2 linked regions of the Nothobranchius furzeri genome follow. The main gene of each other region encodes a partner of the protein of the gene in region 2 in a complex. Links are inferred from orthologs where the notes say so. Each region holds a gene or a part of one and is shown on either strand. Other genes may lie near its edges.

Evidence for each region. Proteins that work in one complex are often made in the same cells at the same time.
Region 1: protein FAM8A1 (region 2) and herpud1 share a complex: the UniProt entries of both Homo sapiens proteins name them as parts of the HRD1 complex. The link is inferred for Nothobranchius furzeri from reciprocal best matches to the Homo sapiens genes FAM8A1 and HERPUD1.

What each region holds. Positions count from the first base shown.
Region 1 is NC_091744.1:85,517,792-85,525,708, reverse strand, and holds part of herpud1 (homocysteine-responsive endoplasmic reticulum-resident ubiquitin-like domain member 1 protein), read right to left. Parts: intron 6,906-7,917; coding exon 6,828-6,905; intron 5,628-6,827; coding exon 5,547-5,627; intron 3,332-5,546; coding exon 3,159-3,331; intron 2,972-3,158; coding exon 2,861-2,971; intron 2,782-2,860; coding exon 2,410-2,781; intron 924-2,409; coding exon 803-923; intron 715-802; coding exon 553-714; 3' UTR 1-552. UniProt on the Homo sapiens protein: Component of the endoplasmic reticulum quality control (ERQC) system also called ER-associated degradation (ERAD) involved in ubiquitin-dependent degradation of misfolded endoplasmic reticulum proteins.
Region 2 is NC_091745.1:80,666,676-80,675,049, forward strand, and holds protein FAM8A1, read right to left. Parts: upstream 5,352-8,374; 5' UTR 5,206-5,351; coding exon 4,779-5,205; intron 4,287-4,778; exon of another isoform or gene 4,265-4,286; coding exon 4,144-4,264; intron 4,047-4,143; coding exon 3,923-4,046; intron 3,834-3,922; coding exon 3,694-3,833; intron 3,611-3,693; coding exon 3,466-3,610; 3' UTR 2,874-3,465; downstream 1-2,873. Other genes in the region: myelin P2 protein, read right to left, coding at 7,951-8,004, 8,094-8,195, 8,274-8,374. UniProt on the Homo sapiens protein: Plays a role in the assembly of the HRD1 complex, a complex involved in the ubiquitin-proteasome-dependent process of ER-associated degradation (ERAD).

The DNA of each region.
Region 1 (7,917 bases), on a different chromosome or scaffold from region 2:
TCTGACCTGGAAGAACATTTGGTCACAAATTAACTCACAAAACTAAGAATCAAACTGAATCGCTTCCAGCTCCGGTTTCCTTGTTCTGCCTAATCAGCCGTTTTATTAAAGCGCTAAACAGACAGCAAAGTTTAGCTTTTCTGATATTTATCCTTGTTAAAATGTTTTCTTTGAACCATCAGGGATAAACAACACGTGCCCTACTCTAACAGATGCTGCCACGTTTCTCTCAGGAAGCCACCAGCGTGAGACGGTTGGAAAACAGGCCTCTAATCTAAAGAAACCAGAACACAAGTGTGTGCATAAACCTCACAGGAAGTGGTTGAAACCCAACAGGTGCACATTTAGTCACTTCCTGTTTCCTGTAAGGCTGTGTGATGAAGCAGAAACGCCCCAGAGCAGCGTTTGTTACCCGCCTGGACTGGTGACCAGGTTTAGGTCCTTGTTGGTGACTAAACCGCTGCTTTTTTAAGGCGGTAATGTGGTTTTCCTCTAACAACAGAATCACAGCAGCTGGTAACACGTCAGCAAGCTTTACTACAGGAAAGCTGCTCAGTGGGCCAGACCCTGAGGAGCTTCAGGTATCAGAGAGGAGAAGAAGGTTTTAAAGAACACCCAGGCCGTCCACATCAGCGATACTCTGTGAGGAGGAACTAAGACGGCTGCCATTGGTTCCTCTGATCCTTCTGCTGCAGGTTCTTCCACCTCATCAGCCTGAAGAGAAGTTTATTTTAGCCACAGCTGATATTTAGAATTTAAAGATCACCTTGTTCCTCACAAGAGTAAAACCCCGGTTTCTTACTGGATTTAGGGCTTGGTTCCTGTCCTCGTTCTGCTGGTTGTGCTGGACCTCGGGAGGCTGCTGAAGGTTGGGCCCGGGGACAGCTGCTGGCCTTCTGAAGCGAAACCAGCCAACGGTGTGTCTGAAGGAAAAAGGCAACAACAGAAGAGTAAATACAGGAGAAATTCAGAAAGTCATTTTTTTTACTATTAAAAGGCTGTTTTACTATCTAACGCTGTAAAACGCCTCACAACACATTTTTATCAAAATAAATGATCACTGTATATTGTTAATTAATTCAAATAATATAATATTGATTTAGTGTTGTAGTGTGTGTGCTGTTTTATTTTATATGTGTACTTATTTCAGTTTATTTGTGTTTTTTATGCAGAAAAAAAAAAACAAGCAACGATGGACAACTACATGGGGAACAAGACACTCACCCCCCAGCAATGCATACACTTACAAACTCTATTCTAGATTCTACATTATTTTTTATGGAATTTACCTCTTATATATATATTTTTTTTTATTTATTTAACCTTTATTTAACCAGGATAGAGACCCATTGAGGTTAAGAACCTCTTTTACAAGGGTGTCCTGGCCAAGAGGCAGCAAAAAATAAAAACTGTTACAACTTAAGGACAATGATAAAAACACTCAATCATTAAAAGCAGTTACAAGTTAAATTTTGATGCCAAAAAATTTTTCTGGACTGATATTTTGCACCGTTTAGCTCATTTTACACCGCTGACTGTGTTCATGTGCAATAAAATCGATTGCAGTCAACTGCACAATTCTCTTATGCTTTTCTTTTTCTTAACTGAAATGTATCCATCACTTGAATAGGTTAAATAGCTAAACAATAACAAACCAATTAATCGAAAAAATAATCGACAGATTAATCGATTATGAAAATAATCGTTAGTTGCAGCCCTGGTTGTGTTAGTGTTTCCGTTTGTCCTTTTGGTATGATTTCCAGTATGTCATCTACGCAGTGTTTCCATAGTTTCATTTAGCAGTTTGGGGGGGGGGCAGTGGCTATGGCTTTTTGCTCCAGGTCTTCCACGAAAAACTGGCACAGGGTGGCTGATAACGGGTTACCCATGGCGAAGCCTTCCAGTTGTTTGTATATTGTGTCGTCGTATGTGAAGTAAGTGGAGTTAGCTACCAGTCCTATCAGTTGTGCTATGTCGTCTGCTGTGAGGGTTGTTCCTTTATGTAAAGTCTTGTCCTGTCTGATTCTGTTAACTACTACGTCTTTGGTTTTTTGGGTTGGTGTTTTTGTGAACAGAGATGTGACGTCATGTGAGATGAGTATGTCGTTGTCTTCTACTGTAATCTCTTTTACAACGCGGATAAACGGAGAAGAAAGTGACGCCACCACCAGCGCCAGCTCAGGAAGTTCGCAGCCGCAAACGAAACGTCAGCAAGTTAAAGAAAAAACCTTATCTGGGTTTATGGCTTTGATGGATTTTATGATTGTTGAGCCAAGATTTTTCTCTTCAGCTGAATCAAATATTCAGTGAGAAATGCATGTTCGTAACTACATACTTTGCATTTTAATGTCTGTTTTTAACTTTATACAACCAACCAACCCTCTGTTGGGTGGAGCTGGCTGAACTCACAGGTACATGAAGAAGAGCGTGCTCATCACCAGCAGGAAGCGACTCAGACTGGAGTTGAAATACACGATCATGAGCAGAACGCCGAATCTCGCTGCCGAGTACAGCCAGTCCAGCCAATCGCGTTCCACGTCCTCCTCGTCCTCCATCACCGGCCCACCCTGCGCGTTCATACGCATGTTCTGGTTGGCCTCCCCAGGATTGATGAAGGCGGCGTCCTGCACGGGGTTCTGATTCGCCGGCAGGTTGTCGATGGGGTTCTGATTGGCTATGGGAGCTGGGACGGGTACTTGGTGGGCGGGGACATGTGGGTACGGACCAAAGGTTGCTGCAGGTGTTGATGGAGCAGACCCCGCTGCTGCCAGAGCTGCGTGGCTGTGGACGGAAAATCGGATTTAGAGAATACCATGGACTACTTTAGTGCGTGCGTGTGTGTGTGTGTGTGAACACTCACTACTGCATGTAATACTGTCTGGCGTAGACGTGTTGGAGCCACAGCAGCTGCTGAGGGCTGTACAGGGAGAAGTGGGGAAAGGCTGGGTGTGTCAGCTGTGATGCTCCAGGCCTGCAGAGAGACAAAACCTGAACTTTTGACCAGGAAAAGCTCGTTTCTATCATCAACTACAAAATCGGTGAGCAAACTCCTCCTAAAGCGTTAGTAAGAAGCTGCACATTGATGCATTTTGCTAAAGCAGCTGAACATTCACCCTTCATGCAGCTTCTTCCTGCTGTCTGTTATTCACATCACTTACGTGGTCGGAGTGGGCCGTGCAGGACTTTCCTGTGGAGATGCTGGGGTTGGAGAAGCAGACGACGACGACGAAGTTTGCCTCCTCTGCCTCAGCTCTGGCGTGCTCGGGTTCTGAACCAGCGGAGCTGCAGAAGACCTCAGACCAGAAGGACGTGCTTGATCTGCCTCTTTGGTCTGCAGAGGAAATCAGAATTTAAAGAACGACACCAGAAAACCAGAACTGCGAGACAAATATGTAAAGACTTATTTTATCAGGACAAACAAAAAGACTTAAAGTATTAAAACTGAGCAGAGTGACACTAATTTATTTATCTTTAGTGACTGATCTTGAAACCGTTGTGCTTCACAGCAGGTTGGTGATGAAGGACGCGGTGAGGAAGAACATCTGCTGCTCTCACATGTCCTACATTTGCTTATTAAATAGTTTCCGTTTTGATTCTGACAAAAAAACAGACGTTGTTTTTAAAACCCTATCCTAAAGCTAATAAAATCATATTAAGATTTTAAAAAATGGATAAAAACTTCACAGTTCACGTTTGCACAACATTTTACTCACAATAGATTCATAAACGTGAGCTTTTACTTCAAGTTAGTATTTGTATTAAAATAAAGACGTTCAGGTTGAAAAAACCAGAACAGACTGAAACTGCCAATTTGCTTAAAGAGCAAGTCACCCCCCAAATCAACTTTTTTCTGATAAACTATATAAATGTGTGTCTAATCGTGCTGCAGACACGTGTCGTCAATAGTTTTGCACTTTAGTGCATTTTAGTTAAAATTTTAATTTTCTGCCTAAAACTGTCAGTGTTGTGCCGTTGTCAGGTAAAAACTCTGCACTGCAGTTGAATTTAAATCTGCCATCGCTATTGGCTAAGAGGTACCCTAGAATGTTAGCTGGTACCATATGTAACGGTATGAAATGACTGTTTTCCACCAAAAGTCATTTCCCCCTCTCCTCTGACACAGAACTAGTCTGCATGAGATACGGCCTCAAGGTCTCATGCATTTGTTATAAACTGCTTCTTTCCAGCTCAAGAGAAGAATGAAGAAAGGACTCTCTCCTTTTAATAAATCAAATAACTCTATTTTTAATAAGCTAATCAAACAAAGTGTTAGTCAATAATAAAATGTGAACCAATCTGTGACATGAAAATATTAATTACTTTATTATAATCCTATAGAATATAATAAGTAATATGACTTTAAATGTTTCCACTAGGACTGATCTCACGTAGCGTTAAGACATGACACATTACTTTACTGATCCAATCAGAATCTGCCAGATCTGCTGGAGGCGTGGTTTTGGTGGTGTTTGGTAAATCTGTCATCTTTTCATTCGACCATAAACCAAAACATCCGAAGTATAAAACTATGCCCACGTCATCTTTAACACCAGTTCAAAGCGTTCTAGAGAAGTTGTCGGAGTGGCCAATCCGTAACTTTCCTCTTCAGCCGAAAGAACCAACGACAAGCTGGATAAAATCTGTTGCTGTTCCACCTGCTGCAACGGTTCCTTTCAGAATAAAAGCTGAACCATCACGACCCAGGTTTGGGTCTCGCTAGATGCCAACAAATTGTCGTGACCTGGAAGTATCTAAAGACTGGTGGTTAGCTGCCGCAGCTGTTTCTACAGGCTTCGGCTCCATAAAGGTCAAGCTGGACCTCTACACCTCCTGATCTAACGGGGACTTCCGCTAAGGGTATGTAGACCGACAGAACGGCGTTGAATGTGTTTATGAATCTCCTAACCAAAGCTTAACGTGAAGACATCACCTTCAGTTCCCATCAGAACTAATCGTTTCTTTGGATTTGCTGGTTCTGAGCAACATTCCACATTACACCATGCTCCGTCTCATTCACCTTAGTTACACCATACATTTAGTGTTAAAATTAGTCTAGTTTAATTTGTTTAGTAATAAATCTTTAAACTTTTAAACTTGACTCTCTCTTCTGTTGTCTCTGAATTAATACGAGGCTGTTACATAATCCCTGCAATAAAAAGTTCCAATCTTCTGGTTAAACAGCACCCACAGATCCATGAGGTTGATTTCATATTTGCTATGGAATCTTGTGTCTTATGGCTCATTAAATAACATGTAAATTAAATCATTACACACATGATGTCACAATGTCATTGTGAGCCTGTGTGTGTTTGTTAGCGGCTCCGCCCTCTCGGTCTGCTAGGCAACAGCATTTGTTGCATTTTTCAAACAGGAAGTGGGAGCGGAGTAATACTCTGGTAGGGGGTGACTTGCTCTTTAATGTGTCATAAAGAAGCGGCGGAAGGTTCATTAAACTTCTGAGTTTTAAGAAACATGGTGATCCGTCACCAAACTCAGCCGCATCACTTAAAAAATAAAAAACTCCACTCGGGCTTTTCAAGGCTCACCTTGGCGCCAGCTCTCAGCGCTCCTTCAGGTGGGTTCCTCATCGCACACACCAGGTGCAGCGTGTGAATGACGCCAGTCTGCTAAACATCAAGATGAACAGAAAAGGTTCAGTTGAGCTAACAGAGGTTCAGCTGAACCGCAGCTACAGGACAGAACAGTGTAAACACAACACACAGTTTGACCGTCAGCCATGTTGGCTACGGGTCACATGAGTCCAACAGTCAGGACAGGGTCACCTTAAAATAAAACCTAGTTGAAAAATCGCAGTACATGACACCAAATCTATTTTTTTCCCAATAAAAAAAGTTATAGCAAAACCTAAAGTCTGCATTTTTGCTGCTTCGGTTGTTAAAAACAAACAAATATTGTTTCGTTCAGATATATTATGAATTATTTAACAAATACCGGATCTATCGGATTACTGCAGGAAACAACAACACAAACAACCTCAGCACAGGCGCTCGTTTCGTTTCCTGAAAGAAAATTTACAAACCAAATGGAGAATTTCATTAAACCACCACGCCGGCTTTCAGGCGTTTACTTCTATTTGTATGTAGTTTGGCGGCTTCTGCTGATGCCGAGTGTCCGTGTTGTCTCCTCTAAGCTGGGCTACAGCTTTAACAGGCGCTGGTTTAGCCTGCGAATGTAAACCCGGGTTCATCTGCTTAACTACTCGGTGCTAAAAACGTGGTTGGTCTCTGTAGCTGACCCAAAGACATGAGAGGAACCCATTTGTCCCATTTTCGTCAGCTCGCTGGTGTCGTTTTACAGCCGATCCAAATGGAACAGTAGAGTCTGACCCGGAAAACCTCCATAACAATCAATCCATGAAATATTATCCTGTCCCACATTTATTAAACTAACGGGAATCTGAGGATTTGGGAATTAGAGGCTGTTTATCAGAAGAGGTTGATTTATAAACGTATTCTAGAGACATTAAATAATTGCAATGTTTGAAAACTGTTCATTTGTGATGGTGAACGGTTTGATGTAAATATGTTCAACCTGATATTCAGGTGGGTGTTAAGATGAATCTAGACAAGGGCTTTTCAGTTCTGGTCCCTGAGGGCTACTACCTGTTTGTTTTCTATGTTTAGCTTCACCAACACACCTGGTTTGATTTACATGCGTGATTAACAAACAGAACAGGTAATTCAGGTGTGCTGGAGATGGGGGATGGCTGCAACATGCAGCGCACCAGGACCAGAATTGAACCCCACTGATCTAGACGAACTTGGATAAAAAAAAAAATAATAATAAAATAAAATCTGAATACAGACCTGTCTGAAGAGCTCTTTGATGAGTAGATGATCTGGGAGCAGTTTGCCAGCGAAGATCAGCCTCTGATCGCACACGGCCTTTAAAAAACACAAACAAGTTAGTTTATGAGGTTCATGTTCTTTAACACAGCCCGAGCCAGCTCACAAATATAAACACACATGGCGAATTACCCAGAGGTTACACGGTCTTGATCAGTAATCATTAACTTTACATGGAAACTAAGCATTTATCTCACAGCACCTGATGGTTGGACAGGTCTTATCAGCTAACTGCACCCTTTCATCTCTCTGATCATCCCTTCATCTTCTGGGAGTCTGAAGGAACATCACACCTTGTGAATTTGCTACTTACAATACAAAAACAACAGATTAACAACAGAGGCTCAATAAACCAATAAGAATATTCTTCCCATGGGCTCACCACTCGTGGGAGGGGCCAAAGGGGTCGGGTGCAGTGTGTGTCGGGTGGTAGTCGAGGGCGGGGACCTTGGTGGTCTGATCCTCGGCTACAGAAGCTGGCTCTTGGCACATGGAGTGTCACCTCTCTGGTGGGGAAGGAGCCTGAGTTGGTGTGTGAGGCTGAGAGGTTCCGACTAGATATAGTCAGACTCTCCTCAACGCATGGCTCTGGCTCTAGAACCAGTTTCCTTGAGAGGGGTTGGACTTTCTACCAGTCTGGAGTTGCTCCCACTGAGAGGCGCCGAGCAGGGGTGGGCATACTAGTTGCCCCCCATCTTGGTGCCTGTACGTTGGGGTTTACCCCAGTGAATGAGAGGGTAGAGAGCTGAGTCAGAAGGAGAAGCTCTCGATTTACCGGTCGATCTACGTTCCTACCCTCACCTATGGTCATGAGCGGTCATGGTAGTGACCGAAAGGACAAGATCGCGGATACAAGCGGCCAAAATAAGTCTTCTATGAAGAGTGGCTGGGCTCTCTCATATGGGCCATTCCCATCTGTACCGGGTCGGCCCGGGCCGGGTAGCGTAGGTTGTTTACATATCTGGGTGGCCTGGTACTTTTCCGGGCCAACCAAGGCTCATTCTCAGCCCTCTTCTCGAGGGGGTCTGCTTCAGGCCGACCAGGGCCAACA
Region 2 (8,374 bases):
TCATTTAGAAAAAGCTGAAGAGAAAATCGTGACCTTAAGGACAGAAATGTTAAATTAGGTGAGAATATTTTAGTTGGGCCTGCTGGTCTTCTCCTCTGGCCCACTCGTGGCTCTGCTCAGACACTAAACACATGGCTGTCATAGAAAGCTGTGAGCCCTGCATGCTGACAGAGGACGACTTTGCTGTTCAAGGAGCCAGAGAAGATGGCTGGACATCAACTCCACACCGTGTGGCAGCGAGGAAGCAAAGCATCAGACACCAAACAGGAGATTTACACCGATTTGAATCTCTCCACCCACAAATCCCCCCATTAATCCTCCATTAGAGAAATAAGAAACCATTAAGAAAACATCATTTTAGATTAATCTGGCTGATGAATCCTCAACGCTTTAGTCCCATTCTCTCATCTGGATGCAAGCCAGAGTCTAACAGCTGGAGCACACATCAGATTTCTGAGCTAATCTGCCATTTTCCACATGCTGGTAACATTTACTGGTTCTCAGGGATGCTCTTCCTGTTTCTGCTGCAGCATGCCAGGCTCATGTGGGGCTGCGGCTGTAATCGCTGCACCATCTGAGGCTGAACGTATGAATCTATGCAGAGAAATGCCTTTACTCGAAGATCTGATGATGCTAAAGGCTCTCTGATGACGACTCACAGATCAAATGTAAATGTTTTAACCTAAAATGAAGCAAACAGGCTGCAGCGAGGTGAAGAGTGGCAGTGACAAACGTACAGTAGATGGAGCCAAACTAAGAGATCTGCTGACGATAAATGTGTTTGAGGGCTTCCATACATAAACGAGTCGGATCTTTAACATCCAGGATTATACAATAAAACTGATTTATAGAGAAATCTAAGGATTAGCAGGACTCCACAGCCCTCTGTGCAGAGCATAAGTCATCATCACAGACCCCACCATCCCAGCATGGACGTTTACCTTCAGACTGGAGGCACGGGAATGTAAACCGCAGGGCAACCCGACTCAAGACCTCCTTCATTCCCACGCCCAGCAGATAATCCCAACATGGGATTATACTTTATTTCCTCTTTGCACATGAAGCTGGTGTACATTTTCATCTGATAACCTGCAGGTAGAACTTCTTTACGGTTCATATTTGGATCGTTTTATTGCATTTCTGCACACTTTTCATCTTATCTGTTTGATACTTTTGGCATCCAGCGTGGGACGCGGTCACAAACATAACTCCTTTCAGCGGAGACGAAAACGGAGCATTCATGTCCAACCTGGACAAACCCGAGAGGACCTTCGTAGGTTAGGACACCTGTTAGTAACTCTGATTCCTTCTGCATTGTGAGATCAGTTTAACGTGTCAGAACCTGCAGCTGAAGGTCGTGATTTATAAACTTAGACCTGCAAGCAGCCATTTTTGTTTTGACCAAATTATCTTTTGCTTATTCAAAAAGAATTCGTGCTTAAAGAGCAAGTCACCCCTACCAGATTCTTACTCCGCTCCCACTTCCTGTTTAAAAAATGCAACAAATTCTGTCGCCTGGCAGATCGAGGGGGCGGAGCCACTAACAAACACACAGGCTCACAACGACATTGTGACATCATATGGTACCAGCTAACGTTCTAGGGTACCTCTTAGCCAATAGCGATGGCAGATTTAAGTTCAACTGCAGTGCAGTTTTTACCTGACAATGGCACAACACTGACAGTTTTAGGCAGAACATTAAAAGCTTAATTCCATTCAATTCAATTCAAGTTTATTTATATAGCGCCAAATCACGACAAGAGTCGTCTCAAGGCACTTCACATAATAAACATTCCAATTCAGGTCAGTTCATTAAGCCAATACGAAATAATGTTTCCTATATAAGGAACCCAGCAGGTCGCATCGAGTCACTGACTAGTGTCAGAGTCTTTACAGCAATCCTCATACTAAGCAAGCATGCAGCGACAGTGGAGAGGAAAACTCTCTTTTAACAGGAAGAAACCTCCAGAGAATCCTGGCTCAGTATAAGCAGCCATCCTCCACGACTCACTGGGGATCGAGAAGATAGAGCACACACACACACACGTGCACACACACCAAGTAGTGTTTCTATAGTTACATTGTGATTTCTTAGTAAATATTCTATTTGGTGAGAGATAAACTTTATTGTATTTATCCTAGTGGATCTATAATTAAACGGGTAAACTAGCAGTAGCACATTCGATATCAAGGAAAGCAAAAAGTTATTATCAGGAGATCAAAATCATAATCAAAATGCATTAAAGTGCAAAACTATTGACTACACGTGTCTGCAGCACGATTAGACACGCATTTAGTTTTTCAGGAATAAAGTAGATTTGGGGGTGACTTGCTCTTTAAACAGCAACCGGCTAAGAGTTCAAAAACTGTTAATGAGGTATGATTCATAACTGCTGAGAGAGTATAGAGCGTCAGTCTGAAGTACTTACAGCCCTGATTCACATGAGACGTGTGTAACATGAGAACAGCTATGATTTTAAATGATTTTTGTCTCTTTAAACATTTGTGTCCATTTTCATAGCAGCAAATATCACAGACGCTGAGACACAAACAGCTACAGCATCCCAGAACCAGTCGGCGACTAGACTCCCAGTTAGAAGGATGAGTGGGACAGTTAAAGATGTCCTGCTGCTTTAGCTGTTTAAGGTGGAGAACATCTCTAGACTCATAGGAGAAAGGCTGCAATCTGCAGGACCTGAACCAAAACCGATAAGCTAAGAGCACGTTGGAAATCTTTTATCTAGAAACACAAATAAAACATGAATGTGAGAAGAAAACACGTGGAAACAGAATTCCTCACATAACCAACCATACGTGTGCTGCTTTAGCACACGTGGCCCGTGTAACTCACACAAAGTATAAATGCACAAGAGTTCATGCTTTCAGAGCCACAGGCCTGGTTTTATTCAGAGAACATTCAGAAATGCTAATGAAATACATAAACGGTTAACATTTAGCGTCCGATACACCTCGGCTTACAGAGAAAAACCTTTAAATGTGCCTCCATCTCAGCCTTAAACAGGGCGGATCAAATCAAACCTAAATCTATGCACACCTTTCCAAGAAAAGAACTTTTCGTGTTTGCATTTTACACGACCTCTCGTCCGCTTTGGAGACCGGCGGAAACGGCCAGATACTGGGGGTGAAATACGAAATCATCAGCGGCTTAAATACTGAGCAGCGGGCGGCACTCGCCCTTCGCCTCACACAGAAGTGAAGGTGCAACTTGTGCCGAAAACGGGCTAAATCCCCATCATCCTTCCTGTTGGTCCAGGAGGAGACACCGGAAACATTATCTGGACATGCATGCAGAAAAACAGTGCTGGTCACGATGAACGGAAGCAGTTCTTACGGATGCGGGCTCCCAGCAAACGCCTGAACTCTGCTGCGACGCGTGAACACAGCAGTGGCTCTGGGAGCCGCTTCACTAAAACATCAGAGTCATTTTACGCGTCCCGTTCTGCGTCATCTGGCTCTGGATCGCTTGACAACGATGGTACCGGCAACCATATCATACACAGTCCTGTTGTGCTGGAAGAAGAGGAGTGTGATGAAGGCTGGGAAGAAGAAGGCTATGGAGAAGTTCTTATTCAAAGCCCGGACAGTTGATCTGGAAGGACGGACAGAAACAAGAGTTCAGTCTTCCCAACCGCCTCCTTAGACAGCTCCCTGAAACATAAACGAGCCACTCACGCAGAGAGAGAGACGTTAGTGGCTGGCACCACGAGCACCCTGTTGGGCTGAACCAGAACCGACGAGTCACACGTAACGACTCTGAGTCCGAGGAGAAACTTCCCTGGCGTGGCACCTCCTGCTCCCCAGATGCACACAATCTGACAGGAGAAAAGCGTGAAAGTTCACCTCGAGTCTTCCTAAAACGTTTAAAACACAGACTTGAGTCTAAACCGGCAGTGAGCCTCACCTCATAAAAACACACCAAGATCCGGTACACTAGAGCAACAAGCATCATCTTCTGCAGCTCCTCCATCGACGTGTCCTCGTCGATCTCCTCCACGATCAAATGCATGGCAAACTTGGAAACATCCCTAAAAACAATGGAAAAGACAAAAAAATCCAAATGTTATGGTCATGGTGTTTCTGTTGTCATGACAACGCTGTTTACACCAAATCTAATTAACCCACTTGATTCCACTCAGATGCATAATACTGATGATTATAGAAGCTTTGATGAAAAACAAGATGAAGAAGTCCACCATCTCCGCCATGAGTCTCTGGAGAGGAGAGGGGATGCTGTACTCCCGCCCTGGTGGAAGCGAGACACAGCGGTAAGTTTTAGTCCTTCAGAGGCTGAGAAACCAAACGTTCAAGGTTTATTTTCCCAAAAGTGAGACACAAACGTCACATTAACCTTACTAGTGTCAACGCGGTCTGATTCAGTCATCATCTGAGTCATAATTGGAGTTTAACCTGAATAAAAACAAGAGAGTCGACGACAGAATGTTCCAGAAGGTGCTAAACGTGGCTTTAGTGAACACTTTAGATGTCTCATCAACGGTTTGTCTTTATTTCACTTCACAAGTTTCATTCATCGCTGTCCTGGTGTGACGTCATAACCCGGCCGCAAAAGCCACTCACTACTCGTGTTGCGTTCAGGTCACAAACTATAAAATAATACATTTGGCCTTCTGAAAAGCTTTCAGTCTTATCCCAGCCCGTAGTGAACCGTACCGTAACTCCTACTTTTTATTAAACGAAGAGCATGTTTGGGTGTGTGGTCACAAGTGAACGTTTGGACATGAACCAGCTGCAGCGTTTACCCGGTCTCTGCGCGTTTCCGTTAGCTTGAGGCGGCGGTTGGTGCTGCTGCGCGGCAGCGCCGACGGGGGCTTCACCCGCTCGGCTGACCGCAGGTGGATACGGCAACAACGGAAGCCCGAGTGGGCCGGCATGCCAGTCACCAGCCGTGGGGGTTCCGCTGGGTGGCTGTAAATAAGGGCAGGACACCGCCGACGCCGCTAGCCAGCTCTGCCAGTTCACATAGCCAGCGTAGTACTGCCACATCCATGTCTGCAGCTTCTCGCAGTACTCCGCTGTGGTTCCACCGTCAGCGGAAGGTTTCTTCTGGTTGTCTGAACCACGGATTACATCTTTACCAGAAGGTTTATTTTCTCCTTCATCCACTTCCACAGCTTTGTTGTTCATGTCCGCCATGTTTACAAGCACCGTAACGTCGTAAAACGTCATTGATGCCAAATCATTTAGAAAGAAGCTAAACAGAAGTGAAAACAAATAGTTATCGATTATACATATTTGATGAGAGGTTAACAGCTGATATACAAAAGCTTATAAGGTGAAAACTTTTAATAAAGCATTTATTTAGCAGGAGAACTTCAGCCCCTCCCCCGCTTTTCAGCACATAGTGGTACAGTCCAATCAGTAGCTGCACTACTAGACACGGCCACAGGAGGTCAGGGTTTCGCTGTTACAGTTTCAGTTTGACCGCATTATCTTTATTTATTTGTTTATTTTGGACAGTGCATGTTAATGAACATAAAGCAGCTTACATGAATGTAAACATGCCAGATTATAGCCAAAAATTCTAATTTCCATCTGTTGACATAAAAAGACATAATAATTCATAAAAATTCATCATTCATTCATAATAAAAACTCCTTCACCAAACTTACACATACACACCATTCTATTCACAAATGAAACATTAAAACTATAAAACTCATACATGATCACACACTTGATTTGTCCATAACCAGTTTTTAACCTTTGCCTTGAGTCGAGCATTCTCTAATGGGTTGAGGAAGACTGTTCCACAGATGGCCACCCTTGACAGAGGACGTTCTGCCCAAAAGATGTCTGTCTATGTGGTATAAACATTTCTCCTCGAATTGTAGCTCGTGTAGTCCTGTTTGAGCTTTCTTTATGCCTAATGAACTGCTTTAGTGGTGGTGGAGCAAGGGAGTGTAAGACTTTATATATTAAACAGACTCTTTTAAGTTTCATTAAGTTAGTGAAGTTCAGTAATTTATGTTTTTTAACACATGACAATGGTGGTGGGAAGTCGGTTTTTGTCAAGTAATTTTAAACTTTTATAAATGTTTGCACTAGTTTTAAGTGTTGTTGGACAAGCAAGTGACCAGGATGTCAAACAATAGTCCGTATGAGAGATGATCATCGAGTAAAAATAAGTTTTTGCAACATTCATATTTAGATTATTACGTATATGAGTAAAATTTAGATTATTAAATTTAAGTACCTGGGACACTTTATTTATATGACTCTTGAAGGATAATGTTGGGTCTAGAATTACCCCAAGATATTTAAATTCTGGTGCTAGATCAAGCTCTACTCCATCCAGGAATATATTTGACTGCTTCTAGTTTAAGGGGCGTTTTGAAAAAAACATGCAGACAGTTTTTGAGGTGTTCAACATTAGGCATGAGTCCTCCAGCCAGCTAAGCATTAATGCTAAAGCAGCTGTAAGATCTTTTGCCACCTGCTGGACACTGTTTGCTTGCGTAAATATAACTGCATCATCCGCATACATTTGAGCAAATATGTCTGGACAGACTTCAGGTAAGTTATTAATAAAAAGAGAGAACAATAAATGCCCAAGAACAGATCCTTGAGGAACTCCTGTATCACAGTCTAAATATGGAGATTTAACCCCATCCCACACCACAAACTGTTTCCTGTGTGAGAGATATGAGGCAAACCACTGAAGCGCCTGACTGGAGATATTAAACTGAGTCAATCTGGACAACAACATCTGATGGTTTACGGAGTCGAACGCCTTCTTCAGATCTAAAAATACAGCTCCGACACAGCGACTCTTGTCCAGCAAGCTCTTCAAGTTCTCCACTAACGTACAACAAAAAGACAAGTTGGTGTCATGATCCAGGGCTTTTTAGGTGTTTAGGTGTTCCCATCTTGGGATTTATACTCCCTCTAGATTCTGCAAAATCTAACCTCAGCTTGTCGTTCTTTTAACTTGGTAAACCTTTACTTGTTTACGCTTATTTACCTGCGCTGAAAATATGGGAGGAACAGCCTTTTGATTCACCTTAAGACTATTGGATTTGAATGAGATTATTCCTGCAGCCATGTTGTCTGTAGGCAGGAAGTGCTGCATAAACGTTCAGTGATTTCCTGTGACTGATTTAGTCAGGATTAGTGGACAAGTTTGGATGGATTATTTACATACGTATAAAACTAGTCCTCACATAAATCATTTATCCTTATTAGAACCTGGAACCTTATGGCTGAATTTTAAAATAAGACATGGGTTCATTCATGACCACAATGGTTTAGAATACAAGAGCTGAGGCAGTGATTGTATTTATGGATAAAGCCATTTCAAAGCAAGTCTGCACCGACTCAAACGTAATCCTCCGTTCATTGTTTTAGTTGGAAATAAGTCAACGGTCTCTGCTCCATCGGTGCGGAACATGAAAGACTTAAATGCATCCCTCTGATTCAGACCACCTGGCTGCTAACGTTGATTCATGTTTGACCCAATTCTACAAAGAACCCTAATCGAGACTAATTCCACAAACCTGCTCTAAGCTGCGTCTGTGCATCGTGGATAAGAGGCTTCCCACAAACCGGGGGTCACAGCCCTAAACCTCCAACAGGAACTGGGCCTGCCCCCCCCAATTCACTCAAATCCATGTCATAAGGCCCTCATGTTGTGTGCTTCAACAGAAAGCCTTTGTGCACTTGGGCAATGTTTGAAACGCCTCCAACTGGATCCCTTTCAGCAGCAAATTACCACACTTCACTGGTCGTCAGCATGTCGTTCATAAACCGCCAACAACGGGCAGATTCTCGGGAATCGTGGACGAAGCCCAAACATTATAATACATTTAAGCTGCCAAAGCTCCACTTCAGACAAAAATACATTTGATAAATAAACGAACAGAAACCTCATGGTTCAAGTTTTATTTTCATGTTCAACAGCTCAGTGCATTTTTCTTATGCCGCTTTCTCGTACGTCCTCACAGCGACCACGTCGTCCATGACACATTTCTGCATTAAAAAAAAAAAGTTTCATTATTCAAGATGGAACAGTCATGGTGCCGAGGGCCATCACCTAGAGAGGGTGACGGTTTACTCACAGCAGTGAGCTTCCCATCTTGGATCTCCCGTTCCAGCGTGGTCATCTTCCCATCCCAGGACTGTTTCTGCATGAGCTTACCGTTCTCCAGAGTGAAGATGGACTTCAGGTAAAGCAGCTTAGGTTAGAAAGTTATCAAACTTTAAAAGGTGCAAAGATGAAGTTGATGCAGAGTGCTGACCTTGGCTTTGCGTCCATCTGCTGTCGTCTCATCCACCTCTTCATTCAGCTTAAACTTGACCTCTGCGGTCTTCAGAGTACTCTCAGCCTTCATCGTGATGA